2 linked regions of the Nothobranchius furzeri genome follow. The main gene of each other region encodes a partner of the protein of the gene in region 2 in a complex. Links are inferred from orthologs where the notes say so. Each region holds a gene or a part of one and is shown on either strand. Other genes may lie near its edges. The genes, in order: tcte1 and drc3.

Region 1 (16,161 bases), on a different chromosome or scaffold from region 2:
GTACATATTCCTACGTAAAAAATGCACTTATTCTCATAAATCTTGTCATAATTTTTCCATCTGACAGTAAACTGGTTAAAAATGAATTTTCTGATATTAGATCGGAAGTTGTGTATTGCTGATGCATATCAGGAAGACAGCCAGAGGTCTACAAAGCAAATAAATAAATTAAAGAGGCCTGAATTTGTCACTGATAGTGTTAAATTCAATAAAATCACAAGATTACATCAAAAAGACATATAGTGGTTTGATTTTGCTGTAAAATTGTAAAACATACCGTAATAAACCCTCTGTGTGTGTGTGAAGTGGCCACTAAAACATTAGCTAACTTAGCTTCATCCTTCCTCTGGTTGTTGATTTCAGCTGAACAAGTTCAGGTGTGGAGCTCATTGTTTTATTTACAAGTCAGGAATTTAAGGACTGTTGTGGTGAATTTACTGTTTCAGGTGAGCTGTTATCTTCAGAGCTGTCTTAGCAATATTAAAGTACGTCAAAAATAACAGCAGACATTGGATTTAGTGAGAAAAAAAACCTCAAATTTCAGCGTTTGCATCTATGCAACTCTAAACTCAGGATGGTATTTAAAGCAATGTGTCTGCTTCCAGTATATCATTTCCACTTTTGTTATAAATACAACTTAGTCCATTAAAAAGAATTGCAAAGCCTAAAATTCCTCCAAAAATTCAAACACCTGAGTGATATCCTTTGCAAGAATATACCAAATTCAAAGGCTTTTTTATAAAGACACACTTTTTTAAATGTATGAAAAATGGTAAAGAACATTCATTTATATGGTTTCATGTGTTAACTCTCCCACTGTCCTAATGGGTGTGACCCCATGAGGAAAGTTGAGGTCCATGTGGCAGGGGTGAGGTGGTGCTCACTCCTCACCCCTGCCAAATGGACCTCAAGGGATAAACCATCAGTCCTGCTCAATGGTCAACTTTCCTGGAGGGGTCACCCATGAAGACAGTGGGAGGGTTAAGAAATGAAAATGATCTGATTCTCAGTATGTTCTTAAAGTGGCAGTGTGTCGTTTCCTGGCTCTAGGGGGCAGTACAAACATTTCACGGAAGTTTTACACCATATCGCCGTAACTGTTGTTAGTTTTAAAAAAACATTACAGCATATGCTGTTACCTGTGGAGCAGAAAGCATGCGACCTCGGCGTGACTCCTCAGACTTTGATGGTCCTTCAGGTGATCCCATCGAGAGAATGCAATGTAGATGGTAGTTTTCTGGTGCTGTAGTTACTGGATCTGCTCGGGTTCCTGCGCCTGCCAACTATGTCGAACTACGGCAATACCGCTCGGTCAAAATATCCTGCATTTCTTTTTTGATTTTGTTCTTTCACATTTGTTTTGGAAATAGTTTAGCAGTTTTGGTAATAAATTTGTGTTTCTTACTGCCTAAATGATTTTGAATATGGTAATTTAACTTCTGTAAGTCGTACGTTCAGCAAATCATCTAGACTAGTGACGTCCTCGACAGGCACAGTACCCCGAGCCGGCCAGAAGGAAACATGGTGTGTCCCTCAAAGACGCTAGATCTGCATTTTATGTACATCAGACCTGGTTTTTATGGTTATATGGTACAAAGTTGCCAATATTTTTTAACAAATGCACACCATTTTTTTCATTTTCAACAACATTTCGATGGATATTTCCTGAGATTAATGGTGAAAACTACACATTGTCTCTTTAAAGGCTTCAAATGTAATTTTAAAAGTAGAAAAACACTCAATTCCATCAAAAATAAAGCCAACAAGCAAAAGCTTTGTGTGGAAAACACAAAACGTCCTCTATTTGTTCAAAGGAGAAGGTGTGTGTTTGCGCTAGGGATGGGCTAACGGTAATTTCAAACTAGGGGTAACCCAATATATCAGCATCGGTCGATATACCTCCTTAGTAAAGCCTATTTAAAGACAGGCAAATCCTTGGGCAGCCCAGAGCTGTTGCTGAATTTATATGTATATTTACATTCCTGAATAACATCTGCAAAACAAATGCTCTAAAATGATTTTCAACTAAAATTTCCTTTTATAAACCAGTTTTGAATAATTAATACTAGGTCAGTTCACTGATTGTTTGATTAACATTACTTAGATGTCTGATTTTAACACTGAGCAGTGCTTAAATTTAAGATTTAACAGTTGGTTAAATTCAGTTTTCAAAAACTGATTCAGCTTCAGAAATTGTGTGCATTAACTGATGTTTTTAGTGACATTTTAGCATGAGAGTAAGGTGGAAACGACCAAAAAGGGCAGCACATATCAGCCATCGGCTGACCATGACTTCTACATATCGGCATTGGTATCGGGCAAAAGAAGAAACACCATCAGTTGACCTCTATTTGAAACAATTTTGAGTCTATTAAGGATTATTTTCAAGTTGAGTAATAACAGTTGTCAGTATTTCAAGGAATGGAGATCCCAGAAAGTTCACCTGAAGGTCAGACTGTTGCTGAATGTACCGGGAGATGATGTTTACCCATAAAGAACTGCTCTGAAAAGTACAAACACAAAAAACAAGGGGGAGGGGGGTGTTTTTACCATGCCTGTAAAATGTTTTTGTTGTATAGTGACTGAAATATTTTGGCTTGGGAAACAAAAAAAAAAAAAAAAAAGGAAAAAAAGATTTTTTGGAGACTTGTTTTCTGAAAGGAAATATTAAACAACATGCCAGAATGTGTTATGTCAGATATGTTTCCTACAACTTATACCTCCTGTCTACAAACTTGTTCTCCAAGCGCTAAAATAGTTTGTGAAATTATTTATAGAGACTAAAAATGAGTGTTGATGCCTGATGCAAGCTGCTCTCAATGTCCTTTTTAAAGCTGAGCTCATAAGCAACCTACTGAAAAAGCAGCGGTCTGACTAAAATATAAACAACCCACTGAGATCAATCAAATATCCCTGTGTTACAGCACAGATTAGTCAGTCAGTGGAGATTTGCATGTGTCATTAAACACAGACAACCCCATCCTAATCACACAACTGATCATTTATTTTTTTAAAGGTGTGGAACACTCGTTTAATCAGGACATTTGCAGTGATTTCTAGTAGGAATTAATGCCTTGTAAGTTGTACTTGGGGGCAAAAAACACCAGTGCACCATTTCTAGGAACTAGGAGTGAGCCACATCACAGCTGAGCTTCAGACGGCCGGTTTTGGAGTCTTATTCCCTGATATTTGGACATCTCACCTCTGACTGAATAACAGCAACGTTGATGTTTTATTATCAAGCCACCAATTCTGGCGTGAGGTGGAGTTGCTAATGCTAATGGTTACCTTCTACTAGTGGAGACGTTCTCTGCTGTTTCCTGGAAGCTAAACCAACAACAGCCTTCCCCGTCGTGAGTTCATGAATGCTGAGTAACAAAGTGACGTGGATCTGTTAGGATTTTCTAATCCTAGAGTTTCATCATCTATTTTCTATCAGAAGCTAATGCAGGAGATGGGTGTAGGAGACTATTTTCATGTTCCGCCTGCATAAAAACCTCACAGTGACCTATTAGAATCAGAAATAAGATTTTCAAAATGTTTTTCTGTGTTCCACACTTTAAAAACAAACAAACATTAAATTCATCTTAACTTGTGTAGGCTGAAAAAATGCTGGATTTTTGAAAATCACTCCATTAACTAATTTATCATCATCATCATCATCATCATCATCATTATCATCATCATCATCATCAGCCAAAAGGCCTTAAAGGTGGCCTCACTGTGATATTTAAACATAGAGAAACTGTTTACTGGTATAATGTTTACATCACTATTAGTGGAGGAGCAGAAATGGAACAGACACACTCATAACTCTGACTTTTCCTCTGAAGATGACTGTTAGAAGAAAAGCTTCTTTTCATGCAAAGCACTAAACCCTTTATCGTGTCTGTCAGGTGGACTATATAAAATGGCTTTGGGGCTTTTTACATTTGTATAAATCTTTGTGCAGAAATGAAGGAATTTGTACTGTAAATAAGAGATCTGAGCATGTGGGATACCTGCTGATGATAATATGTGCTTGGCTGAATGTGTCACACACACACGCACGCACAGACTTTTGAGGCTATGGCAGCAGGGAGAGCTGATGTACATACTGTACGATAAGTAGAGTTTGCTACGTTGCAGTTAGCAGCACAGTCACTTTCATAATGTTACTCACTAACTTATTTTGATATTTTAAGCTAAATGTCCTTTTAAACACAGTGGGAACACATTTAAAGAGCAAGTCACCCCCAAATGAACTTTTTTTCCTGATAAACTGTATAAATACGCGTCTAATCGTGCTGCAGACACATGTAGCCAATAGTTTTGCACTTTAGTGCATTTTAGTTAAAATTTTAATTTTCTGCCTAAAACTGTCAGTGTTGTGTCGTCGTCAGGTAAAAACTCTGCACTGCATTTGAATTTAAATCTGCCATCGCTATTGGCTAAGAGGTACCCTAGAATGTCAAATGGTACCTTATGATGTCACAATGTCATTGCGAGCCTGTGTGTGTGTGTGTGTGTGTGTGTGTATTTGTTAGCAGCTCTGCCCTCTTGGTCTGCTAGGCAACAGCATTTGTAGCATTTTTCAAACAGGAAGTGGGAATTGAGTAAGAATCTGGTAGAGGGTGACTTGCTCTTTAAAGACCATCATTGGATTTCTTTGAACATCTTTTGTACGTTCGTTATTGGATTATTCCATTGAGTTAAAATATAATGCACACAAAAATACTTTTAGTGCATGCAGTTTTAGAAAACTTTTTTTAATCAAAATAAAATGTGCACTGCTGAGAAAAAGTATTTTGCCCATTTTCAGACTCTGTTTTTGCTTTTGTGTCACACCTGAATGTTCCAGATCAGAAATACACTTCTTCTAATGATCGTTTACTTCAAACCTACCTAGCTTATTAATAACTGGGAGGAGTCAGAATAGTTTTGTCATGACTTGAGGCAAGTGCCTAACCCAAGACATGCAGAATCAGAACTCGTTGGGCAGATTCAGTAAAAGAAAAGTTCTTTATTAATAAACGGGAACAAAAATAGCACAGGGAAGTCCTGTGGGTGTGAGCGGTGCAGCTCGAGTCCAAGTAGCACTCGGGATGAATGAGGGAGGCGGGGGAGCTGAGGTGAGCGCTGGGCAGAGGGTGAACGATCCGGGATGGGTGAGGTCGCAGAGAGGGGCCAACAGGAACAACGGAGGAGGATGGGACGTGGTGTATGAATCCAGAGTACAAAAACAGCGAGAGTGAAGCAGGTTGAGTGAGGATCCTGAATGAAGAGAAACAAACACCAGGCGTAAGGGATAATCCAAAAACAGTCCGAGGTCAAAGTCCAAGTATCCAAAACGAGACAAAGCGAGCAAACAAGTATGAGAATAAAGGGCTGGGGCTACCTAAACTGGTGCAATCGTCCGGCGTAGTGAGGTGTCTCCATCCTCCTTTTAAACCCGAGTTCCTGACTGGGATCTCCTGCAGCTGCCACCCCCCTCCGCTCCTCACCTGTGGGAAATCAGCTCAATCACAGTTAGAGTGGAGATGGTGTCACTCACCTCGTCTCGGGAACATGACAAGTTTAGGTTGTTTAAATTCAGGATGGTTTTTCAGCTTGCTTAAGATCAAATCTTGGATATTAACCTTCCGGCTCTCGCAGAGTACAGACGCTTCTGCTTTTGCTCCCTTATCTTTTTTTTCCCAAGGCTCTTTGTCCTGTCTGCCCACAGAGCGCTTCTCTGCATTTCTTCTGAAAAACCCTATTTTTTAGAATGGATTTAATTAATTGGTCATTCAACGCGATTGACAAGATTTTTTCTACGATGAGAATGGAGGAGGGGGCTCCCACTTGCCCGCAAGGGACACACGCAGCACGATATATGCTCGATTCCTGGAGGGAGTGGAAGATCGTATGCCTGTCTCAGTTGTCGATTGAGGATGTCGAAGATGTGTGGATATTTGGCCTGATGATCACTGGATTTCTTCTGATTGGAGTGGGAGGATATCTGGTTTTCTGGAAATTTGGGAAGACGGGAGCGATTGGAGGGCGACCCGCACCCACGGAAAGCACCGTCCATGTGGTGACCTCACAGACTGGGACGTTACTCGAGGTGAATCGTAAGCTGGTCAATGTTCTAGCTGCGATACCGGTATTAGTGCGCAAAATGGATGTCATCTCGGAGAGGGTCACTGGACAGTGTGGAGATGTCTTGTTATCCGAATCTGATGCCATGGCAGCCTTGTGAATGCCAACAACAACCCCCCACGAAGGAATGCAGACAGATGCTGTGAAAACCCGACCTACCCCCCCGATGATTGGTGGACTTCAGCCTGGCGAGGTCATCAACCTGCAGGTGTCAATGTGCTCTGCGCTCCTCCCAAGATCTCCCTCCCACCTGTGGCTACAGTTGCTGAGCGCCATAGGGCTGCTCTCGCTGGAGAAACAGGATCCCGCCCCCCCCCCCCCCCCCCCCCCCCCCCAACCGCCTTCCTCTCGGTGTCTCATGTTGTGAATTGTTGATGTTCGTGCTTATATGTTTGAGGCGTTTTTTTGCATAGTAAAGCTACGCCCTGCCGGGAGTAACTCTGGTGTGCCTTTTTTTCTCCTCCCCCAATTTATCCTCATGTAATCCCCTTTTCATCTATTGAAATGACCGCCGTCATGGCTGCTCTCGTGGTCTGCCTGTATCTGTTCTGTCTACATGTGTGTGTGTAACCTTGGTCAGGCTGTGCTGCGGAGTCAAGTTCCTATGCTCTGGTTCGCTGGAGCGCTGGCAATAAAGCTTTTTCTGATTTTCTGATTCAGGATTTTCTTCAGTTACAGCAAGGAAACATACCAGAAACTAGAAAAATACGACATGAGTACGACTAATAAAGTCTGTATATACTCCAGTACTACCACAATGCTGCCTTTATGTTAGGGAGGACTGAGTATCAAATATCTGAATGAATGAATGAACCTGGATTAAAGGGATACTAGGCAGTTTTGTTTGTTTTTAGCACCTCCTAGTGTCCAACATTAATTCACTGTGGTTAAACAGAAAATTAAACTTATGTCCTCCCTGTGTGTTTGTCTTTTTAACGCCCTCATCTAACAGCTGAAATGTCTCCTCAGCCTTCATTAGTGTCTACAGGAGCAGTTCATCACTAAATCAAACACATCAGCTGTGTTCACGATCTAAAAACATTCAGGAAACGTGCTGGAGGCAGACTCCAGCTCCACTCCACGGCTTTCTCCACCAGCAGGAAGCGGACTGGCAACTCTGAAGTTGCAAGTCTGGTGTTCTGGCCACAGAAGGGGCGGTGTGGTCTTAGTAACATTTCATTAACCCAGTAAAGGGTCATTTTTCGACATACTGGCTTAAGGAAATGATTTAAAAATATTAAAAAGTTGCATAGTATCCCTTTAAAGTAATTCTATTCAATAAAAAGAAATGATCATTCAAAGAAATGCTCCATCTTTCTAAATTTACGAATGGATTCTCTAATGAAACATCACATATGAAATATGTATTATCCTATAAACCTATAAAGAGGAAAACTGTGTTGATTAAAAAACATTTTTTATTCAAAAGCTTGCAAAAAATGTTTTATCTTGCCAAACCTGTGGTAAAGTTTGCTGATGTAACACACATTAACGGTGAAAAACTTGGAACTTTGAAATTATTGAAAGAAGAAACATACTGTAACACACATTAACGGTGAAAAACTTGGAACTTTGAAATTATTGAAAGAAGAAACATACATTTTCTCCCAACATTCTGCAAAAATCTACTCATAAAATTAAATTAATTTCAAAGTTAAGAGTTCTGAACACTTTGAATATTTCCTTGACCTTCAGGTTTGAGACGGAGTTGATGACGGTGGAGGAGGACGGCGTGTCTCTCATTCCTTTCTCTGACCCGCCAATTCTAGTTCTTTCTGTATCTTGTTTCTGAACATCGTTGTCTTCAAACCTAAAATTCCACCCTGAAAAACACAAAGGGAATAAATCTGGTATGTCCTCCAGTCGGATGATCCTGAAACTGCTCGTGGCCGTCGTCATTGGTGTTTTGCCTGAAAAGCCGTTTCTATTTTTGCGAGGACCAGACCAGGGTCAGAGATACTGATGGTGCTGCATATTATGTTTCTGCTGTGTGGCTGACTTTTGATCCTCCGTGCGTTTTCCAGTAAAAGAAGAGAGCTTGAAAAAGATTCAGACTCGGATTTGTCTCTCCAGGGAAAACACTTAACTCTGCTCATTTTCACACACTTTCTTCATGTCTAAAAATACCTAAAAGTGATCTCTGGATGCACTGGACATTGCTGGTGATTTTTACTCTTGTAAATAATAGAATTCCATGTAAAAAAAAATGCATGTTGAATAAAACTAATGAACTTTTGTAGATTGGAGGCGTTTTAAGACAGCAACAATGTACATTGGTAACTCCCTTCCAAATAGCTGAATTATCCCTTTTTGAACGGAATTCAAATCAAGTTTAAATAAAAACCCTGGGAGTTGTGAAACGATTGTTTAGGTGGAAATTCAATGAAATATTGAACAACTTACCTCATCGAGCTTGTTGCCAGATAAATCGAGACTGCTCAGAGTTTCATTCTTCTTCAGCATGTCAGACAGAACGGGAACTGTGGCCGAGGTTAACCCATTGCTTCCCATGTGCAGGCGAAGCAGAACGTTGTTTTTCTGCAGAGCTTTGAAAATGGCCTCACCTCCTTTGTCTCCCACTTCGTTCATACGCAGGTCGAGGGACGAAAGAGGAGGGTTCTTGGACAAAGCCTCAGCTATAGCGCTGGATCCCACATCGCCGATTCTGTTGTTGTACATTTTGAGGACCTCCAGTTTACTCCTGATGAGCAGCTTGGCGATGGCACAGCCTCCGATCTTTCCAATCATGTTGTGAGATAAGTCAAGTTCCCTCAGGATGGGGAAGTCCATAAGGTGGTACATCAGCATGCAGCACTTTTCATCATTGATACAGCTTACAGGGAGCCTCAGCACCTGGAGAAGTATTAGCTTGTTGAAAAATATGTAGCTTATTCATCTAAGTATGGCATTTCCTGAGTTTTGCAACTAGAAAGTATTAATACGAGTTTTTCAGTATATAAATGCACATATAGAATAATGAATTATAAACATAAACAAGGCTTTTTGAGACCCTCATATCCCCTCAAATGTGTTTTCTTTTAAAATTCAACCAGAAAGCACAAGAAGTTGATTTTCCTGCTCCATAAATGCTGCAATCATTACTCACAGACAGTTTTTAAAAAATAACAGAGAAGTGCATACCCATCCTCCTTCCCATGCAAGGATGAGGACCTAAAAAAGAACTGCATCGTAGGGAGAAGGATCAATATTTACCTTCAGGGTTTTTGATGATTTGACTGCATTGGCGAGGGATATACAGTCTCCATCAGTCATCTCCTGCATCTTCCGTTCAAAGTTCAGCCCACATTGTTTGATTCTGTAAACCACGTGAAGCTCCTCCAAGTTTGTCAGCTTGTCAAGCACAAGGCCAAAGTCAAAGTGGTCCATGCAAGGCTCATCAAGCGACAGCTCTTCCACATTCACCTCCACCTGAGGCTCCTTTAAAGGTGGCAGCAGCTGTGAGACGCTCAGCTTCTTCACAAAGTTATCACAAAACGGGATTATTTCTAGAACTGTCTTTGGTTCTGTCACACCTGGGATGAAAAGTTCAATCACACTACCCAAGTGTCTCTCGATGTACATCTGTTTCCAGCTGTTGTCATAATCAGTCACGTCACAGACGTACCACCTGTGCTTGCAGCATTTTTCCCAGTAAACACCATCAGGGACCAGTTTGGAAGTGACATGAAGAGGAAGACTCACGGACAGTCGCTCCAGGATGTAACGTTTTTGGAAAGGTGTGACTTTTGTAAAAATCTGTTCGTCTGCAGCAACTGAAAGAATAATAACAATAAAAAGAAAACAAGTTTAAGCCATAAACGTCATAGAAAATCATCTTGTGTGTGCTAATTATTATTATTATTATTACAAACAAAATACCTTCGAAATTTTCCACTATGCATTGCAGACATTTGTGGGACAACCTGAGCGGGTCTGTGACCTGCACAAGCCAGTCTGTGTCTTCTGCAATGATCCTCCTGCTCATCTTTCTGTGGCTGCTTCAGGTTCTGGTGAAGAAAAACACAGTGAATTACCTGTAGCTCAACTAGCTAACTTAATCGTCTGTTCGGTGACAAGATTTCCTGACCTGTTCACCAAAAAGTCAGTCTGATAAGCGACACAACTGGAAGTAGAATCATTTGCTAGCTAACGTTTGCTACGAGTCAAAAACCACGGTCTAAGTATTTTTTTTTTTACTTTTTAAAACAACTGTTAGCTTAATGGGGTCAGCTCACTACTGTCTAAAACACATTTAAAGTGGAAATAAAAATAAACAAAGCAACATTTAGGAGTTTAATACTCACATGAAAGCGTTTTGCGGTTTCAAAATGAAAAAGGAAAAAACCAACGAGGATAACGTTCACCCGTTTCTATGGCAACAAAACGCCCAAACCTTATTTTGCGGTATCGTGAGGTGTTTTTATTTTGTCGTAAGGTGGCTCAGATATGTTGCAAACTGAAGTGACATTAAGAACATTATATAATTGTGTTTTTATATTTTATTTTTATTAACTTTTTATTGATTTTTATAAATATGATAAACATTTTTAAGGGAAAAAAACACAGACACCACCCCATCTAGAAGGGGTGCATAGAATTTCCGAGCTTTGCCTAAATGCAACACAGTTACATTCAAAACAATTATGTGACTATTAAAGCCACTTTTTAAAGAATAATATATTTAACATATTTAATTAATGTGCTGGAATATTCTAAAATAATAAATTGATTGCATGACTTACATACGTTTTTTTCATCATAACAATAAATCAAATCTATAATCAAAGTTAATTTGTTAACAATCGGAAATTTATCTGTGTTTTTCTGCAGGGAAGATGAAAAGCAGCAACTGAAGCCTTGAGGCAGTCCATCACTGCAATTTTGTGTAATTCTGTCTGACACGCACGCGCTTTAATGCACCACCATGACGTCAGCCATCACAGAAGGTTAAACCAGAGTATCTGTGGAATAAACCATGAGCTTTTGCGCACTCTGGGTGAAGTCACTGTAGGAGTGAATCACAGCTTTGAGAGTTTCACCATATGGGAGCTGTACGGTTTCATGAACATGTGTGTGTGTGTCAGTCACCTTTAAGGCTACATGATAAAACAAGTTAGAAATAACGTAGTAAAATGTTGAATAAAGAACAGACCAACCATTCCAAAGCTGATCCAGTAGCAATATTTTGTAATTGTTCATTTTTATTTATTTATTTATTTTACATCAGTAAAACCAAGTGTTAATATATTAAGATATAATGAAATTTCCCAAAACATTAACAGCAATCAGCTGAAATATGTCCAAAGTTGTCTTCCATCCATTCATCATCGTCCGCTTATCTGGCGTCGGGTCATGGGGCAGCAGCCTAAGCAGGGGCCAGATTTCCCTCTCTCCAGCCAATTGGGCCAGCTCCTCTGGGATAATCCTTGCATAGTCCCTCCAGTGTTTCCTGGGTCTTCCTTTAGTTCTCCTCCTGGTTGGACGTACCTGGAAAACCTCACCAAGGAGCCACCTCCACTGGCTCCTCTTGATGTGGAGGAGCAGCAGATCTACTCCAGGCCCCTCCTGGATGACTGAGCATCTCACTCTATCTATAAGGAGAGCCCAGCTACCCTGCAGAGAAAACAAATTTTGGCCGCTTGTATCCGCAAACTCGTTCTTTTGGTCACTGTACAAGCTTGTGACCATAGGTGAGGTTAGGGATGTAGTCAGTCAGTACTGATTTATGCCAAAGTTAACGAAATACAAATTTTAAATTTCTGATTCTGATTCCAAATCTCGTGCTGCTCTGGGTGGCTGCATGTTGGAGTAGCTCTGTTAACTACATTTAAGTTTTCCAGAAGACACAGGTGGGGGCCTCAACTATCGCCTGGATTAAAGACTACCTGACAGACCAGAGTTTGTGAGGCTGAAGAACTGCTCATCAAATCAGGCGATCAGTAACATTGGAGCACCACAGGGGACTGTACTCTCACCATTCCTTTTCACCCTGTACACCTCAGACTTCCAGTACAAATCAGAGACCTGTCATCTACAGAAATACTCAGATGACTCTGCAGTTGTCGGGTGTATCAGAGATGGACAGGAAACTGAGTACAGAGAGCTGGTGGAGCGCTTTGTGGCATGGTGTGGAAACAATCATCTGACCTTGAACGTGAACAAAAAGGAGATGATTTTAGACCAGAAGAAACAGGGTGAAGTCAAACACTGTTTCCATCACGCGAGAAGAAGTGGAGGTGGTTGAGGAATACAAATACCTTGGAGTTCACCTGGACGACAGACTGGACTGGAGTAAGAACAGCGAAGCCGTTTACAAGAAGGGACACAGCAGACTGCACTTCTTGAGGACACTTAGGTCCTTCAACGTCTGTAGCAAGATGCTGCAGATCTTCTACAAGTCTGTTGAGAGTGTAATCTCTTCAGCCATCGTCTGTTGGGGTAGCAGCATCAGAAGCAGGGACCTGAAAAGGCTCAACAGCCTAATAAAAAAGGTTGGTTCTGTTCTGGGGACGACTGTGGAACCACTGGAGGAGATAATGCAAAGAAGGATTCTCCAGAGAATCAAGAAAATTAGGGACAACCCTGAGCATTCTCTTCACAAGACTGTCCGACAATGGAAGAGTGTCTTCAGTCAGAGGCTTCTTCAATTTTGCTGCAACACTGACCGCTACTGGAGATCCTTCCTGCCAACAGCCATACTATAACTCTTTGATGACTTGATTATTATTATTATTATGAGCTACTACAGCAATCAATTTCCCTCTGGGATTAATAAAGTATTTTTGAATGGAATGTTGAAAATTACTAATGTGTAAGTAAAACCTTCCACATGAAAGATTAATACTAGCGTGACATAAATCAGAATAAATAAGTTGTCTTGTGAGAAAAAACTGGTTTCAGTCATAAATAATTAAAATAATCTGAATGTTTGAGAAAGTAGTTTATGCTTCTTAAACAGCACATATTAATTACCTCACATAAACAACAGACTCCATATTGGAGTGCTGGATACATGCAGCCATTATTCATGATGCCATCACACACACACACACACACACACACACACACACACACACACACACACACACACAATACACACACACACACACACACACACACACACACACACACACACACACACACAGATATTTTTGGAAGGAGTAACCACACAGAATAAACACCGTCTGTCCACATCACAGCATGAGGACCCCATGTGTGCCCACACTACAGCCTGTGCCATCATACTTCCATTTGCTTTCAGAGCCTAGAAAAACTGTTGCGTTGGTTGCTAGGCAACAGAGACAGCATTTAATCATTAAAGAGCAAGTCAACCCCTACCAGAGTCTCACTCCACTCCCACTTCCTGTTTGAAAAATGCAATAAATGCTGTTGCCTGGCAGACCGAGAAGGCGGAGCCGCCAACAAATACACACACACACACAGGCTCACGACAGCACTGTGACATCATAATGTACCAGTTTACATCTAAGCATACCTCTTAGCCAATAGCGGTGGCAGATTTACATTTTAACTAAGATGCGCTGAAGTGCCAAATTATTGACTACACGTGTCTGCAGCACGATTAGACACTTGTTTATTTAGTTTATCAGCAAAAAAATTGTTTATTTGGGGTGACTTGCTCTTTAAAGGATAAAAGGGTTTACTGCAAATGGGGAGTTTCTTTATGATTGCTATTTGTGGGGAAAACATTTTAAGCGTAAATGCAGCAAATGTTAATCTGCATTTTAAATGCAACTTTTGTTTTGACACCTTAAAGCTTGAATGCCTTCATCAACACACTAAAAAAGAGAAAAATTACTTCTCATCACTTTTTTTGCATGATTACACAATTGCCATACACTTGTGTGTTTTGAAGAGGCAGGAACAGCCAGAGCTCAGGTGACCTGTGGAGTGTTTCCTTCCAGAAATCACAGCTTGAGTTTGAGACACACCCAGGTGACTCAGCAGATGTCTAGAAAGTCAAGTTTAAGGTTGAACATTAATACTGGATAAGTCTTTATCCTCTGGAAACACAAACCTGTTTCATTTATGCTAACTTAATAGAACATAATTGTTCCCTAACTTACTTTTTAATTCAATTCAAAAATACTTTATTAATCCCAGAGGGAAATTGATTAAATATTAAAGATTAAATGAAAAATTCCAAAACAGCTGTTAGTAACAGGTTTACATATATGACTTTAAATATCAGTCAATAAGAGAATTTATTGAGTCTTAAAAATATTTGTGCAAGATTTTCTGTATTAATCCAGTAAAAAAAGCAGATCCATCTAAATTTTTTCATTTATAAAATGGACTCATCAGCGGTTAGATGAAAAACATGCAAGAAAGAAACTTTATTCCTTTTGCTGAAAAAAAAAACTCATTAACTATTTTACAAAAAAAAAAAAACATCAGCTCTTTATTCTAAACATTCCAGGAAAGCTCAAAAGTTCTTTCACATTTCCACCAACAAGGAGAAAGAATGAAAAAAAAAAAAAAAAACTGTTAATCGCTAAACTCCAAAGAGCTGTCATCAGATTCTGAATGGAGACTGCTGTCGGTATCCACGGAGACCACGGAGCTGAAGCTGCTGTATGTGGACACCATGCTGCCGTCGCTGCTGCTGCTGCTGCTGTCGTCGTCGTGGATCACCATCACCTCGGCGATGGCAGCTGCTGGAAAACACAAGGTGAGCGTCTCTTAGAAAATTATTTAACCTTTACAGCTTTTTTTTTTGGGGGGGGGGGGGGGGTATTTTTCTCGCTACACCTTTGGTGTTTCTCCTTGCTCTGCTGCCATCTTGTGTTTGAAATATTTTATTCTGCTCAGCATCACAGAGGATGTTAACTAGACTGTCATGAGTTTCATTACTCTTTAATCACTATTATTGCCTGAATGAGAGAATGAATCTCAGTGTGGAAAAACCCTAAAGTGTCTCTGCTGACCTGATCGGATGGCGTTGCGCTCACCAGTCGACTCACCTGCAACAAGAAAACAACAGCAAAAATATTATAGAGTGGGAATACAATTCAATTCAATTCAATTCAAAGATACTTTATTAATCCCAGAGGGAAATTGAGAGTTTCAGTACACACAATTCTGAGATCAGACATACATACAACGACATTGACAATGAATGACTTGTAGTTGTAGGGGGAGTGGGAGGTGACAATAAACACCGGTGCACCATTTCCAGGAACTAGAAGTGAGCCACATCACAGCAGAGCTGCGGACTGCAGGTTTTGGAGTCATACTTTCTGACATTTTACTTTAAATCCTATTTTATATATCTTTCTTTTTGCACCAAGTACCGTAGCAGTTTCCTATTGTGACTTTTTGCACATATGGCAATAAAACCCATCTGATTCTGATATTTGGGCATCTCACCTCTGATTGGATACAATCAATGTAAATCTACCACTGACTCCATTTGCTTTGCAACGTTGATACTTTATCTTCACAAATAACACGGGCCTTTAACCCAAGACCTCAAATGGGAGCCCACCATCACCTCTGTCACAACTAAAGCCCATAACAACAGAGGATGTACTTCCTGAGGCAGCTGAAGAAATTCAACCTACCAGTACAGTTGATGAGGCAGTTCTACACCGCAGTCATCGAGTCCATCCTCACCTCTTCAATCACCGTGTGGTATGCTGGAGCTACCACCAGGGACAAGAAGGAGCTGCAGCGTGTTGTGCGTTCTGCTGAGAAGGTCATTGGCTGCAAACTCTCCTCCATACAGGACCTGAACACCTCCAGGATGTTGAGGCATGCAGGTCGGTAACAGCTGACCCGACTCGCTCCCATCTGGCAGGAGGACCAGAACCTCTCGACACAAGAACAGTTTCTTCCCTTCTGCAGTTGGTCTCAAGAACGACAATCCTAGGGCTGCCCACTCCAGTCGCTTGGTTTCAGTCACATGACCCTGTGTTGTTTGTACCTGAACTGATCCGCTCTGATCAGTACCTACACTGTCTTGTATATAGTAGCCGTTTCTCTAATTATTGCCAGTTTATATTATTATTTTATCAAGAT
Region 2 (16,061 bases):
CTCCTCATCAAGATGTCATCGACATATATGAGGTTCCCTCTGGAAGCAGCATCTGACATGGCTTTGTGGAGGAAGATGTTGAACTCGGCAGGTGAGTTAGAGTAGCCAAAGGGGCAGCGGTTCCAAGTATATTGGCGATTTCCAAAGGAGAAAGCCAGTTTATACTGGTCCGCCGGCTCAACCTTCATGGTCCAGAAGCCGTTGGCTACGTCAACCGTAGAGAAGAAACGAGCATCTCTGACTCTGGCTAGCTCCTGATCTAAATGGATCATAGGCCACCTGGAGAGAGGTACTTGTTTGTTCAGTGCACGATAGTCTATGGTGAGACGCCATTTCCCAGTCGGTTTCAGAACCGGCCAGATGGGAGAGTTGTAAGTGGAGTTACACTCTCTGATGATGTTTTTCTCCTTCAGCTGATCGAGGATCTCCTGGATCGACTCATAAGCAGCGAGGGGAATCTTGTACTGACGTACAAAAGTAGGAGGGGCATTCGGGTTCGTTGGAATGCGAACCGTATGCAGGTTTGTGAGTCCACAGTCCAGGGAGTCCCTGGATAAGATGGACTGAAACTCATAGAACAGGCTTCTAAGCTCTGCTCTCTGCTCCTCTGACTCCAGCGCATCCGCTTTGTCAAGCTGCTGGCTGACTTCGGCCTCGAAGCCGTCATAAGGTTCAGAGGAGGAGGGTCTCTGGTGTTCGGGGCTTTCAGCCGGTGACTCAGAGGGTTGAGTATTTATTGCAAAAACCGTTAGACACTGACCACCGTCAGTATCTAAGGTTGCACTGCAAATGGGTTCCTCAGGAAGGGCTTCATGCCGCTTGATGGTAATCATTTGTGAAGGGAAAGTACTGAATGTGTCTACACCAACCTGTCTGTCGTTCAAGAACAACGGAAGTTGTCCGATCACGGGGACTGACAGTTCGAAGTCATGGAATGAGCTATCTATCAGCATGCCCAAGGGCTTTCCTGCCGGCATGTGGATAGGACTCCGGGTCGGATTTTCGACCAACAAGTAGGCAGAACGATTGTTCAGCTCCAAGAGTGGCGTGCCACAGACGGCTAAGTTGAGCTCCAAGAAGTGCGGTGATGGCTGGAAGAAGGCCTGTGTGCCTGGCAGCTTCTGATGCTTCATCAGAGTCAGACGAACAGGCACCCCTTTGACCAATGGGGGCAGAACCGTGCTGGCTTCAACCACTGCACGGCAGGCCTGTGGAATGGCCTGACCGGACAGCAAGTGTTCAGGGCCTTCTGAGCGAGGCTCAGAGGATGGTGTGGCTCGGGCCCAAAGGACTTGATTGCAAGTGTCCAGCTGGGCACCGAGTCGAACCAGCAGATCTGCTCCAATGAGTGCAGGTGGATCAAGCTGTGGTATGATGCTGAATGTATGTGTGAGCTGTCTTGCTCCAAGTTGGATAGTCAGAGAGCAGACCTCTGGCGCTTTCAGGAGCCTCTGCGGCCAAGTAGGTGACAAGAGCCGATGGCTACGTGTCACACTGACCAGAAGGGGGTCCTTCTGACGCAGGTGTTCAAACGTCTGCTGGCTGATGGCTGACTTTTCAGACCAAAGAGCAAGGCGAGCATCTGAGATGTGGGTGCAGTTGATGGTAAGACCACCAACTATGTGTGGTGCATATGGCTGCAGGCTGACGTTCTTCAGCGAGCAGAGAAAAGATGAATGTGTGCGGAACGGAGTTCCAGGAGCGGTTTCATGCCTTTGCAGGCGGACATCGTCTGTGGGAGCCGTAGGGAGGGGCATGACCTTGGAACAAGGGTTTTGCGGCTCACTTATGCTGACCTCAAGAATGGAGGATGGTCGGCTGCTATCTGGGTTCCAGGGCTTAGGTGTGTCCACCTGGGCCCACAGTTGACCCTTCTGGCAGTCGATGAGGGGAGCTAGACGTTCAAGCAGGTCCTGACCAATGAGAAGTGGTTCAGTGTCTAGCTGGCAGACATAAAACGGGTGAACCAGAGTCATGTCTTGGAAGGTGATATCCAGCCACGCCCGGTGAGTGATACACTCCCGGGTCTGGGTGTAGCTGGTGATTTTCAGGTCACAGGGTTCTACCTGGACTGGTTTCCCGAGCGACCGCATGGTGTCAGACACGCGATGGAACAATGTGGAGCACATCAGGGTGATTTCTGAGCCGGTATCCAGCAGAGCATCAACCTGTATGCACCCACCTACGTTGGTGCTACAGTACAAACGGCGAGCATGATCATGGTTTGTTAAGTCACCAAGGAACTTCAGAAATTTAGTATCAGGTTTCTCTGGGGGGTAGATTTCAGGAGACTCCTGTGATCTACCAGTAGTGTTCCCCCAGCTGATCAGGTAGGTCCTGGCCACGCTGGGAGGTTGAGCCACGCCTAGTCATGCGGACGTTGGCTCTGGGTCTGGCTTCTTAGAAGAAGACTTTGGTGCAGGGGTCTCTCCTGCAGATCTCAGCTGTTCCTTCTGTTTAGCTAGGAACTGCTGAAACATCTCCTGGAGGTCGGCTTTGGTCAAGTACTCACCTGCGGACTTGTGTTCGGGACCTACCTGTGGGCGGCGCTCCTTAAACCTTCCACTGTTCCAACCTACCTGCCGTTGGTTTTGGTTGGGCCACTTCCTGTCTGATTGTCCAGACCTAGGCGGCCAATCAGCACCCCCCTTTCCCTGTTGAGGAGATTGGGACTGCTCTCGCGGTTTAACAGGTCTAGGTTTAGCAGATTTTGGCTTAGTGGGTGGAGCTTCTGTGCCTTCGAGCTCCAAACGCGGCTCGGCGTCGGGAGCAAGGTGCATGACGCGGTGATGTGCGTCAGGCTTTTGGGGCTTTCCGCCGGCTTCCCAAGCCTGTTGAGCGTATCTCCTAATCTCCTGAGTTGTCAGTTTTTTCATCCGACAATACATTGAGACTTCGGATCGAACACACTCGTGCAGGTTGTGAATGAACAGGGATCTGAAGGCAGGGTCTTCCTCGAGCCCAGGGCCGTTTCGACCTTGGAAATAAGCACTTTTGAGTCGGCGATAATACTCTCTGGGGGGTTCGTTCCTCCCGTGTTTGATGGAGAAGGCCCCCATTGTAGCTGACGCAGAGTCTGCATACGTGGCGTATTCATCTCTCAACGCTCGGCAGAGCGAGGAGTACCGATCTCGAATGTCAGATGGTAGAGTTTCCATGAAACCGTGCACCGTTCTAGATGTGGTTTTCCAAATTAGCTTGAGCTTTTCCCTTGAAGAGGGTGCTGGAAGATCAAGCAGACAACGTTCTATCTCCCTGAGATAATCGTCGACGTTGGATTCATTGGTGTTAGGATCAAAGCGTTCTATGTCTTTAGCTATCGATTCAATTTGACGTACACGGAGCCCTGACTCACGGTACGGCGCGTCATCCTCTGACTCTGACCCACGGTCTGTCTCAGAAGGCGCTGGATATCGCTGGTGTGCTCTGGGCTCCCAATGTTGACTCCTGGGGCCCAAATCGGGGTTCGGCATGTTGTGGCGGGCTGCTGGCACGTCACGTGGGTGTCTTGGGAGGTCCTCCTCCCGGGGCACGTCTGCGTAGTGCAGCCTGCGTCTTTCAACTGGGGCTTCTGCGTAATACGCTCTGTCCGGGTACGGACTGGCGTATGATGCTTGGTCATGCAGCTGGTTATCGGCATGCCGAATACCGGAGTAGCTAGGATGGGTGGATGGTTGAGGTGCAGCTTGGGGTGCATAACCCCAATCGGCACCTTGCACCCTTCGTGGACTGGGGGAGCGGTCTAAATAGAGGTGCCGCTCAGCTGGTCGACTTCTCACTGATTGAGAAGGCCGTGAAGATGAGGGTGGTGGTCCAACCTGGGGTTCGAGGGCGAATTGCCCTCGGCCCCTAGGTGGTCCTGAATGCCCTATAGTGTGTGTAGGGAACGGGGCCGAAGGTTGGGACAGATAAGCTTCATCTCTCCCCTGCGGCGTGCGTCCGTCCAGAGAGTCATGGTGTTTCCCCCCTTCCCACTGTCTGTTGTCATCAGCAGAGGGGGGCGGGGTCTCCTCCCCATCTTCCCCAGAATCGGTGCGGGTGTCGTCTTCCTCGATCAGCCTTCCATTTCGCTGTTTTTCAGCTAGCATACTCTGGAGGTTCATGATCTTCTGACCACGTTGGAGTCCTCTCTGATAGAGGATCAGGGCTAACTTAGCCAAGTGAACCTGGATTGGTTTAGTACCATCCGGGTTTTCTATTTGATCAATTACAGCTTCTAGCTCGTCGCTACGCTGTTCTTCAGTGAAATCCCTAGAAGGGTAGTCGGGTTCTCGAGCAACCGCGACCAGTTTGGACAATATTTGTCCAGAAAGTAGGCCAGGTTCATAGTCGTGGGCCGCAGCGCCACCTGGTTGCTGGGAGTTGGTCAGTTCACTACTCTGTCCCTCCATTTTTAACAACCGAACCAAAAATAGCCTAGTAGAGCTTCTGCAGATAGCTCAAAGCTGCACCTTTTGGCAGCAACTGCTAGTTTTGTAGCAGAAAAACACTAAATTAACCTTTGTGCGCACAGGTTTTAGCGTTTTAAAATTGCACGGACTGCCGTGACTGATGCTTAAAATACTATTCCTTTCAGTATTTTAGCAAAAGCTGGTGCGTTGCCGTAGCAACGTCTTACAACACTTGCAGTGTTAAATATGCTAGTTATTCCTTCAGAATATTAGCAAACAAGGTGTTATCAGTCTTTGAGTGAAGGTTTCAGTTAGTTACAATAGCCACTGTGAGTTAAAGTCGCTAAATTAGCAGTTAATTTTAGCCTAAAAGGGTTAGTCAGAATTACTTACATGCTGCACCTTTAATGAGGAACTGAATTTTAACCTAAAAGGTTAGCCAGAATTAATTACACGTTGCACCTTTAAGGAAAAACTGAATTTTAACCTAAAAGGTTAGCCAGAATTAATTACACGTTGCACCTTTAAGGAAAAACTGAATTTTTAACCTAAAAGGTCAACCAGAATTAATTTACACGTTGCACCTTTAAAGAAGCACTGAGTTACTGGTGAGAGTTCGATGCAGCTTCCTGCTCAGCGAAATCAGCACCACTCTGTTGCTGGTTCAAGGCTGAACAACGGATTATTTTTAATTCAAGCTCTTTGGATTTATTTGTTTGTTTGTGCCGGATAGAAATCTCTGTGTATCCAAGCCTCACACGGGGCACCAATTAAAATGTTGGGGTTATTAGGAGCGAACAATTCGCAAGCGTTAACTTACTTTTGGATTCTTCAATAAATTCTGTAAATATGTAAATATTTACTGATTTATTAATTAATTAAGATATTCTTAGATATACGGGGCACCATTCCCCTTTTTCCGGGGAAAAATTGAATCCAAAACTCTTATCAGTCTTTCTTGAAGTTCGTAGAATCCTTGGAGCAGAGACTTCTCTTCGACACAACAAAGCTACTGGACACAAAAATCTGAATTTTATAACATTTAATTAACAATTTGTCAAATGAATAAACAGTGGAATAGATGAATAATAACCGTGTGATATGATTGAAGATGGATGTGTTTGCATGTGATGGAGGATGTATGAATGGGGTCCTTTGTTCTCACAAAGGAGTAGTGTGTATGTGTGTGTGTGTGTGTGTGTGCGTGTGTATGGATTCAAAATGGAGTCTTGAATACAAGATGGCTGACCCCTTTGTCTGGCTAAAGTGTGGGTGGCAACTTGCACTTTAACTTCCAAAGCACTTAGAATCAGTAGTAACTTAACCTTAAATCACTCAAAACATTTCAAAGGATCATGCAACAACACAAAAGATTAATCACGAGTTAATATCCTTAGTTTATCAGCCTGGCCATGGCCGAACATTTAAAGATACCAAACAATGATTAATAAGCAGTTTATTCTTCAAAATGACCCGACGGACGTGTTTGGGACGAAAGAGGAAAACACGAAGCTACTTTTTAAGCAATAGACGCGGTTTATTGCTTATTTGAGACTATAGAGGAAACGGGAGAAGAAAAGGAGAGAAAAAAAATGAGTTTCCTGATCACCAAAGCAGCAAGGCGTCCCCCGCTGTTATGACTTGACGGTTCTCCGTTTTTCTCCGCAGTTTCCGGCGTCATCCGTCGGTTTGATGCTTTCTCCGTTGTTTGGCGTTCACGAGTGTTTCTCCACGGGCTGGACAGAGACAGCAAAGTTTCTTTCTGTGCTGAGTTATAACTTACAGCGTTTCTGAGAGCTGGATGGAGTTGTTGTTTCCCTCCGCGGGTTCTGTGTCCTCAAACATCAGCTGGAGGGGAGCAGAAACGAGCAGATCAGCGGTCCCGTGGGCTCAACTTGGCTCTTAGAGCTTCCGCGTGCTCAAAGAAGTCGGAACGTTCGACAAGCGTGTCCTCACCGCCAGGTATCCTGGGCAAAAGAACGAGGTTTCTTTGTCTCTGCTGAAGATTTATGGTCTTAGTTCGCGGGAAAAGTCCACGGCTTCCCGCACATGCGCAGAACGTGTTTCTGGTACTAGGCGGTGACGTCACCCAATGCTTCCGTGTGCAAAGCATCATGGGAAATGAAGTTTCTTGGCGCTGATGTGATTATTTGCTTTCCAGAGCAATTTAAGCACAGTCATTTTGGAGAAAATCACTGCATAGTAATTTCCTCATGAGGTCAGACCCTCAACACCATCTATAAACACATTGGTGGTGCACTGCTTTCCCTCAATGATGTCTTCTTAAAAGCAGAATCTACTTGCCTGTGTGCGCTGTTCATCAAACTCTGCGAGTATCTGAGATGTCTTCTGCTTGTAGAATGTCTCCACCTCATTCTGGCCACTGTAAAAGGACCTCAGCTCTGTCTGTCTGCACCTGTGCTCAGCCAAGCCCACTTCAAACAAGTGCAAACACAGCTCCTTCATTTGGACCTCTAATGTAAGCGCACAGTCAAGGACTCAATAGACGATTTGATCGTGGTTTACTGAGTGTTAAATAAAAACATTGACTAAAAATAAAGCATCAAAGATATGTTTGAAGCAGTGGAGCAACTTCTGGGAGGCAGTGTGGTCTCAATACTTCTGGATTGTCTTTAAACAGGCTGTTAAACAAACTCGAACCATCAATATCCTCCACAAAGGCATTCTATGAAAACAAAACAAAACAAGAATAACTTGAACTGCAAAAAACCTCATTAAATGTTGTACATATTTTTTATTTTGACCTCAGCTTCAGTTCTTTGCTGCTTCTGATTTTTCCGTTTTGCAAGTTCATGGAGCTGCTGCTGGTATTTCATGGATGCCTCTTCTCTCTGTAGAAACACATTTGAGGATAAGTAACTCGGCAATAAAAGAATATTGATATACGCGTGCTTTTAAAGGTGTGGGAAACTTGTTTGATCAATACGCGTAGTGGTCTCTGGTAGGAATGAATGCCAAGAGCCCAAAAACACGGACCAGCACCGACAAGTCTGCTGCAGCAGAAAGTGGCACAACATGCCAGGTTTTGGAGTCTTATTTCCTGATATTTGGTTTTCTCGCCTTGGATTGGATAATAACAACTCAACTCTACCACTTGCAATGTGGATGTATTATCTCCACGCAAGCCTGGAGGAGTTTTTCCTGTATGGCCGTGTTGCTAATGCTAATGGTTAGCTTCTACTAGTCGGATTGTTGGCTTCCTGGATGCTAAAACTACAACACTCTTCCCTGTAGTGAGTCAAGTCAGTGTGACGTCGATCTATTAGCCTTTACAAATCCTAGATTTTCTCCATCTATTTTCTAATGCAGGAGACTATTTTCATGTTCAGCCTGCATGAAAAACATACAGTGACTGATTATAATCAGAAATAATAATTAAAAAAATGTTTTTTCAGTGTTCCACACTTTTAACTAAAATGATGTTCCTTCGGACTCAATACAAGCTGAATCCTACTGTTCCTTAATAATATAAGAAGGGGCCAAAAGAAGAGAAAACGTTTCCTCAAGGGGATCAAAAACATGTAAGGAAGGATAAGGAGTTAACAAAAAGATGTGCTACAATCATTTGTACTTACAATCTCTATGTTAATCAAAGTGTCGTCAAGGTATCTTAGCTTTGGCAGAAAGGCTACAGAGAACAAAGTGTATTCTTCTCCATCACTGACAGGATTTCCAACCATGTAGAGTTCGTACAACTTCTTCATCCTCGTAAGATAGAGTACCTTTAAAATGCATAAGTTGTGGTAGTGCAATATTTTACTCCAAACTACAACTTTTACAAAATAATCTATTTTAGTCCTCACTCAGGAAGGGAAATCTTACATTGTCCAGGTCTTTGATGAGGTTGTTTGCAACGAGGAAGTGACTCAGGTTCTGTAGTGCATCCATGTTCTCCAAGCGAGAGATATTGTTGTTGGATAAATTCAGCACTTCAAGCTTTTTCAAACCATCCAGGCCTTCAATTTTTGTGATTTTATTGTAGGACAGATCTAAAAGAAAGAATCTAAACGTGAGCATTCCACTGATCAGATTCTTACCAGTGTACACACATTCATGACAAGATTCCTCACTGAGCCAGGTGAGATTATAGAGGCTGTCCAGGCCCTCGATCTTCTCTATCAGGTTGTGAAACAGGTCAAGTTTGACCAGAGATGTGAAGTCGTGTAGAATGTCAATCTTCAGGATGTCTGTAAACAAATCAGCTCACACATAACCAGACACAAACACCTCGCATTGATCGATTAGTCGATTCAAATGATCTGTTCTCACTTTTCAGGTTCAAGTGTAACTGACTGATATCACTCATGTCAACAGTTTGTTTGCCTCCACAAAGTTTCTTGATGTTTAGGGCTTCATCCCTTGTTGCATCCATCAGCATTCGCGTGTTCATCAGAGTGGGCTGTGAATTCATCACGTTTATCCTGTTTGGAAATAAACACACACTGGGCTTTAATTTACACCCTAAGTTATTGTGTTAAGTTAAATTTGTTCAGTTAAAATTATCATAAATATTGGACGATGTGTAAAGGACTGGCTCTAACAGTAGCGTATACGGAAACGTCTTACGAGATATTAAACACGTTATTACAAGAAAGTTTCTTGTTAATACGTAATAACGAGGTACTGATCCTTCATTTTCCCCTCCGCGCTTCCCCAGCTTGTGTGAGAATCGAATATTTTAACAATAATACTCACCACTGACAACTAAAAAACGTAGTCACCGCTCTTTTTTATAGGTATAGTGGGTAAATAAACGTTTAGACCAACGGATTACACGGACAGTACGCCTTGTTACTTGTTACTTAGCAACAAGTAGCGTTTCAGATGCGTTCAGGTACGTCTAAGACAAAGTGTTAAAATAAAACATCAACCTGTTCCACTATTATGTAGGTTTGATTGCGACATTAACACAACTTAAAACTAAACTTAGTTATCAACAATGACTTTATGTACATTTAATTTCAGTTAACATGTTTTAAAAGACCAGTACTCGCTAAAATATTACGATTCTCTTGTCGTTTTATTTACGAAAATAATTGATTTTCATAATTTTAACGCTTTGGCAAATTGTTTAACTTTAAACCGGTGAAAGGATTATTTAAAAAAAAGAAGGAGCAAAATGAGATTTCGTAGAGAAAAACGCGTTTTGTTCTAATATAGCTTGGAAAACTTTGTTGACCAGAGCTTTAGGATACCAATTATGACTGACAATAATTTTAACCAATTGAATTGAAGCTTTGCGTTTTTCGTCCAATAGGGTCTTTGTGTAGGCGGGGCCTACAGGTACCGCCGCGGCCTCTGGGCCTCAGCCCCTGTCATTCCCAAGCGGATCGTTTGTTGTCAAAATGGACTTTTTACTTGGAAATCCTTACAGCACTCCTGTTGGCCAATGCATAGGTACGCCATTCGTCAATGTTTTGCCAAATTATGTGGCGCTTTCTCTTTAGAGCATATTTTTAAACGTACTCTTCGTATGAGCGGAAAAAGCGAGCTGGCTGGCATCTTTTCTAGCAAACGTCATCTGCGTGGAATGAGCTCCCAGCTAATGTGTTAGCTAGCACCTCTAGATAACTTTCGTCCGCCGCTAACAGTCACTCACAAAAGCTCTATGCGTTTGTTTGTCTTAAAACTTTCCAGGGTGTGTGTTTTTAAATAAAAAGTGTGGCTCTGAGATTACGCTAATGTTGCTGTCAGTCCCTGAACGATAGATGGCCAGATTCCTTGGTCAGCCTTGTTGTCCTGAGCTAGAAACCTTCACGTTCTTGTCCAGCAGATATGAAACAAAGCATGTGTGAGTCTAACACATTCATTTGTTGTGACTTCATCAGTTAGCACAACCTTAGATTAGGTCAGTTGTTACCAGTGTCTGATCGATCATTTATGCAAATGATGGAAACGACCTATTTTTTTTACATGAACCATAATCAGAAAGGCTTTGAATTGACTTTATTTTCACTTTTCTTTCAGTAACAGTGTTATTGCTCGTCTTCAGCATTTCCTAGAGTTGTCTCTAGATCTCTGCAGTTCATCCTCTCCAGGCTGAGGCTTTATTTAATCAGATTTCTGTTGCCCTGATAGTAATTTGTACTCTTCAACGGAGAGGACAAGTCATCATTTCACCTGGCTTAAAGAAAGGAGACGCTTCATAATATGACTAACAAGAGTTTAACTTACTGAAACAAGTAGATGAAGGGAAGTCACTAAATACTATAGAAAACACAGGTGCCGACCGGTGGTGCTGACAAGTTAAATAATGGAAGGATGAGGCTTGAAAGACCATAATGAAGAGAGATGGCTCAGAGAGGGACTTTGCAGCTTTTGTTGGCAAGTGCTTGGTGCAGCTTGGCACTATTAAAGCCACGTGATCACCACCGTTGTGTCAGTGTACCAGGATCTAGAAGGGAGGTGACGCCACACCATAATGAATTATTGCTTTTAACTTGTCTGCACAGCTTTAATTACTTGGGGCCATTCTTGCACATTTTACAGTTTGTTTGATTCTGTCTTCCTCTCTCCTTTCGTCACTGTCCTGCTGTGACACAACAATCCACTTGAGGAGCTTACTTGAGATGTGACTGAAGGAGAGGGTTTAATTCTTCTAGATCTACACTCGAGACTCAAAATCAATGGAGTTTAAGAGAATATTATGGCAGTAATTTCATTTAAATATAAAACAACATCCCTCTCTTGTACTTGGCTTGTCTTCAGATGATTAGAAAGTAAAACTTTTTTTAAAATAAATCCTTTGTTTACATTTATGAAGGTGTAAGATTCTTTGTTATTTCCTGTCTGTAGCTAAAATTAGCCTTAAACAATGGTGTGGAATGTGAAACTTAGACTAGTGTTGTGTGGCTTCTGTTTCTGACCATTATTACAGGTTATGGCTGAGTACACAGCCACATCACATCGAGTTTATACGTCTTTTTACACAGTCCTCACATTCCTGCTTTATTCTGTCAACTTACTAAAGTTCAAAGCACGAGGTTGAAGCCCAGAGACTATGGATGTTCCGATCATGTTTTTTTTTGCTCTCGATCTGATTTTGAGTCTTTTAATTTTCAGAATCTGCCAATACTGAGTCCCAATCCGATACATGAATACGAATGCATTAACGATACGAAATGCATTAAGAAAAAAGGAGAACACTATAGAGTTCTTTCTTTCTGTATTTATGACATTTATTTATTTTATCCGCTATAAAACATCACTTGTTTAGGAAGTACAAGAAATGCTCTGGACGATGCCATATTAGACGCCATGTTTCCTTCTATGGGAGCCGGTGAGGATGAAATGCATTTACCGATTTGTAACAAATGGTTATAATGTGGTGCGCGTGGTTCTGACTGCCATATGCATCGCTAAGAAAACTATCCTCATGAATTGGAAAAATAGAGATACTCTTTGCATTAACCAGTATAGAAATCTTTTGTTAGATCATATTACACTTGAGATAGCTTCTGCTTCCGCTTCAAACCAATCTCACTGGGCTCCTTTGATCGGTTCCATTATATGGCGATGATAGGGGGTCATTGATATTGTCCTGCGGGTTGATGTGGGTGATGGGGCGGAGGGTCTGAGTTTGGAGTATCCAGACGTTCCCTGGAGGTGGGTTCACTGGGGCTGGGGGGCTGCTGCCCCCCTCTGGAAGTGCTTGGGTTGCCTTGGGGGTGGACTGCTGGCGGCTGTGAGTGGGGCCCCTTGGAGGGTCTCGGCGGTGGCCATGGGTTGCTGCCTGGCGGCTGCATCTCCCCTGAGTAGGTCTGGGTGGGGGCCTGGGGGCTCTGGGTGTGGGGGCAGCGGGTCTCGTGTGGGGGGGTGAGAAGCTCGGTCACCCAGGAGGGGCTCGTAGTAGATCTGCTGCTCCTCCACGTCGAGAGGAGCCAGTTAAGGTCACTCGGGCATCTGATTAGGATGCCTCCTGGACACCTCCCTGGTGAGGTTTTCCGGGCACATCCAACTGGGAAGATACTGTAATTATTTGATTTAAAACCAACATTTTGTTTGTTGATGGTGTACACTGTATCACTTTATGATCATAAAACAATATATTTATGGCTCTGCTTGGTTTTTTTGTTGTTGTGTGTTTTCCTCCAGAGCGAGCCACCGATGGCGGTCTGCAGAGTGAGGACTGGAGCCTCAACATGGAGATCTGTGACATCATCAATGAAACGGACGAAGGGTGAGCAGGAAATAATTCATGTTTGGAATATTTTCAATCTCCTTCGTGTCGGATCACTGCGGATATTCAACTTCAGAGGGCCGTTCTCGTTACAGCTTGTCATGAGACTGGCTCGTGTCAGACTGACACCAGATAATACACTAACTACTGTCCATCTCACACAAACGCTTTTGTTCTCCACCCGAAATTCCAAATGAATGAATGAATACGTTTAAGTCTTGGATCAGCCTCCTACACAAAGCAACGTCCAGCCTGCAGGGCTCTGCTAAACCCGATCGTCACTTCTTCATAGCTGCTATTTCTACTCAGAGGCCAAAAGGATTTAATTCAATCCTGAAGTAAGTTTGAGAACAAAGGTGTCAGTTAACACATCGAACGTTTGGATAAAGGTGGCTTCAGATCCAGTAAATGTCACCCTTAATAATAAATAAAGGTGTGAAAAGGTTTTCTATCGCTTTCTCTAGTTTCACATTCCTCCCTCCTCCGTCTTCACACGCGACACGCAACCTTCTCCGTCACCTCGGAAACGCAGAACATCTTTAAGACGAGATGTTCAGTTTAGACAAAATAAAACGGAACCAACTGGTGACCTCTGGAGCTCCTGATTCAGGAGATTGTGTTGCCTTAGCACACACTTCTGGTGATCAGCTTTTTAAACGGCGTGACGACAGATGGTGCGAGAGCAAAACAGATGCTCCAAAGAATGTTTCCACACGTTCATGTTCAGTTTTCTTTGCACGAAATGTCCGTCACCGTCCATCTTTACTGGTTTTATTAGCCTTAATAAGTAACCTGGACTGTATAAAAGAGCTGATGAAGTCTTTTTTATGCCTCGTCTTCTCTGAGGAGAAGGGGAGCGTCGGGCATAGAGCCAGCCCGAACTCTTGATGCGTGGACAGCTTTGATCTCGCCTTGGGAGAAACATTCTGTAGTCGCGCAGAAAGGAGCGGAGAAGAAAAGGCAGATCCAGATGGCGTGACAGCTCTTCACTTTCTGTGTCAAACAGTTACGCTGACAGACTGACTGGCATCTGTTCCTGTGGCACAGGAAGAGAGTTTATTCCAACAAAGTCGGCGATGTTGCGCTCGCTCCCCGCGTGGGCTCCTAATGAAGCCCCAACTTCTCTGCTGTTTCTTTCCAGGCCAAAAGACGCCATGCGGGCACTGAAGAAGAGACTGTGCAGCAACAGGAATTACAGAGAGGTCATGCTGGCGCTAACGGTGAGAAGATGGCTGAGTGTCTGTTGGCAAGCCAAGAAGCCTCCAATCTTCTTGCAGTTTGCTGACAGAAGCTTTTTAGGATGTTTCTGCAGAGATTAACGACGCTGTGGCTTCCTGTAGGTGCTGGAGGCCTGTGTGAAGAACTGCGGCCACAGGTTTCACGTTCAGGTGGCCAGCAAAGACTTCATTGATGGCGTTCTGGTTAAAATCATCTCCCCAAAGACTAATCCACCAGCAATCGTGCAAGACAAAGTCCTGTCTCTCATACAAGTAATCAGGCCTCTGCTCCCGGTTTTTACCACCTGCCACTAAACGTCAGACAGTAATGTTGGTCCTCTGTTAGCTAACTGTCACAAACCACTGGACGCATTCTAAGGAAAATTTCAGAAACAAACAGCTTTTATACCAAAATGCTAATAGATTTTTTTGAATTCTCAGAAAAGAGAGTAAATGGTGTGAGAGAAAAGAGATTTTTAGATTTTTCACCCAAAAGTTTGGCTTTTGTGACTCGCTCCACTGATGTGGCTTTTAGATATTTATTATTATTGTTATTGTGAAGAGAGAATCCAGAGCATGTCTTTGTTTGTTGTGACAGTCCTGGGCGGATGCGTTCAGGAGCAGTCCTGATCTGACCGGTGTGGTCCACATTTATGAGGAGCTGAAGAGAAAAGGCATCGAGTTCCCCATGGCAGACCTGGATGCTTTGTCTCCCATTCACACGCCTCGGAGAGTAAGCAGGAACGCCTTCAGATCTTTATTTAAGTGCACGTTAAGTGTTACTACATGATTTTATTCACAGGGTACACCGGAAGTGGATCCAGCCATGTTAAAGTACCTGGCTCCCGTTTCTCCTGCTGCTGGGATGCCTAAAACCGGCCCTGCTGCTCCAGCCTCCACAAACGTCCCCAACCCCATCACAGCAACACCTGAACAGGTGAGAGGCGCTTCCTGCAATGCCACTGGAGCCGTTTCATTCGTGGATTTTAATCCAAGTGAGGCGTTGGTGAACAGAGTGATCCTGCTTGTGCTTTCAGATTGCCCGTCTGCGGAGTGAGCTGGACATCGTGAGAGGAAATATCAAAGTCATGTCAGAGATGCTAACGGAGATGGTCCCCGGTCAGGAGGATGTCTCGGACCTGGAGCTGCTCCAGGTCCACCTTCAGCTTTCATATAAACACATTCAGCGCTCTTAGGCTGTGTTTGACATGACTGACTGTTAGCAGGTGTATTTGTCTTTATCTGACTTTTCTGTGTTTTGAGTTTTATTTTGAAGGATATTTGATAAGATATATATAAGATATATATATATATATATATTGATAAGAAAATCCTTCACTTTTTGTGAGATGATCTAAGATGAAAAATACAACCTTGAAAAAGAAATCCGTGCTGCATTTGCCCTTTAACGTCACCTACGGAGCCAAAGACGTCCTGTTGTAGTGCTTTTCATCCACCAGGGGGAGCAGTGTTACCAGTTTTTGCTCCTAAAACCTGTCAGGAGGTGAAGGAGAAGCGTTTAATCTCCTCTGGACAAATCCGCTCAGGTATCCATGTCAGCTTCCAGGATCTGGCCTGGTGCACACCACCCTCTGCCAGCTGTAATTATTATGGGATGCACTTTTTTTGCTTCCTCCTTTTTCCATCTGAAGCAGAACATAAGAGGATCGTCTAAATACAGTAAATGTGCAGCGTGGGTTTCTGTTTCCAAGCCCCATCTGAGCAGCTTTACTCCGCGCTGCTGACAGAGGGTTTGTTTGGTAGTTGGCAGACTCGTGTTTCTGCGTTTGTGTCTGCTCTGCTCGTTTCTTCTTCCTGTTGATCGGTCTGTTGGTGCATCAATCTGCCCAGGAGCTGAACCGAACGTGCCGGGCCATGCAGCAGAGGGTGGTCGAGCTGATTTCTCGCGTTTCCAACGAGGAGGTGACGGAGGAACTGCTGCACGCCAACGACGACCTCAACAATGTCTTCCTTCGATACGAGAGGTGATCTGGATCAAACAGGCTTTGCTGCAGCTATGAGTACTTCTTAAAATGACTCATTTCATTCAGGAGAAAAACAACATCACTGTTAACTCTTTCATCCTGAGCAATCTGTCGTTGCTTTGATGCCTTTCATCGGGTTTTGTGAAGCCGTGTGAACATCTGAAGCTGAAAACGTGTGTTCTGTGTTGCTCACAGGTATGAGAGGTACAGGTCTGGAAGGGCTGCGAAGAACGGCGGGGTAAGGGCCGTCAACAGATGCTTCAAATCT

The links.
Region 1: drc3 (region 2) and tcte1 share a complex: the UniProt entries of both Homo sapiens proteins name them as parts of the nexin-dynein regulatory complex. The link is inferred for Nothobranchius furzeri from reciprocal best matches to the Homo sapiens genes DRC3 and DRC5.

The regions. Positions count from the first base shown.
Region 1 is NC_091742.1:8,363,136-8,379,296, reverse strand, and holds tcte1 (dynein regulatory complex subunit 5), read right to left. Parts: upstream 10,506-16,161; 5' UTR 10,425-10,505; intron 10,343-10,424; exon of another isoform or gene 10,208-10,342; intron 10,128-10,207; 5' UTR 10,106-10,127; coding exon 10,000-10,105; intron 9,894-9,999; coding exon 9,334-9,893; intron 8,974-9,333; coding exon 8,524-8,973; intron 7,944-8,523; coding exon 7,860-7,943; 3' UTR 7,521-7,859; downstream 1-7,520. Other genes in the region: E3 ubiquitin-protein ligase rnf8, read right to left, coding at 14,629-14,798, 15,069-15,104. UniProt on the Homo sapiens protein: Component of the nexin-dynein regulatory complex (N-DRC) a key regulator of ciliary/flagellar motility which maintains the alignment and integrity of the distal axoneme and regulates microtubule sliding in motile axonemes.
Region 2 is NC_091752.1:55,519,282-55,535,342, reverse strand, and holds the start of drc3 (dynein regulatory complex subunit 3), read right to left. Parts: upstream 11,651-16,061; 5' UTR 10,587-11,650; intron 9,810-10,586; coding exon of another isoform or gene 9,758-9,809; exon of another isoform or gene 9,652-9,757; intron 9,249-9,651; exon of another isoform or gene 9,108-9,248; intron 8,834-9,107; 5' UTR 8,824-8,833; coding exon 8,682-8,823; intron 8,600-8,681; coding exon 8,483-8,599; intron 8,402-8,482; coding exon 8,235-8,401; intron 8,135-8,234; coding exon 7,988-8,134; intron 7,244-7,987; coding exon 7,157-7,243; intron 7,078-7,156; coding exon 6,967-7,077; intron 6,873-6,966; coding exon 6,696-6,872; intron 1-6,695. Other genes in the region: TOM1-like protein 2, read left to right, coding at 9,758-9,809, 12,507-12,591, 13,733-13,811, 13,932-14,081, 14,407-14,541, 14,611-14,745, 14,846-14,962, 15,660-15,793 and 1 more. UniProt on the Homo sapiens protein: Component of the nexin-dynein regulatory complex (N-DRC) a key regulator of ciliary/flagellar motility which maintains the alignment and integrity of the distal axoneme and regulates microtubule sliding in motile axonemes.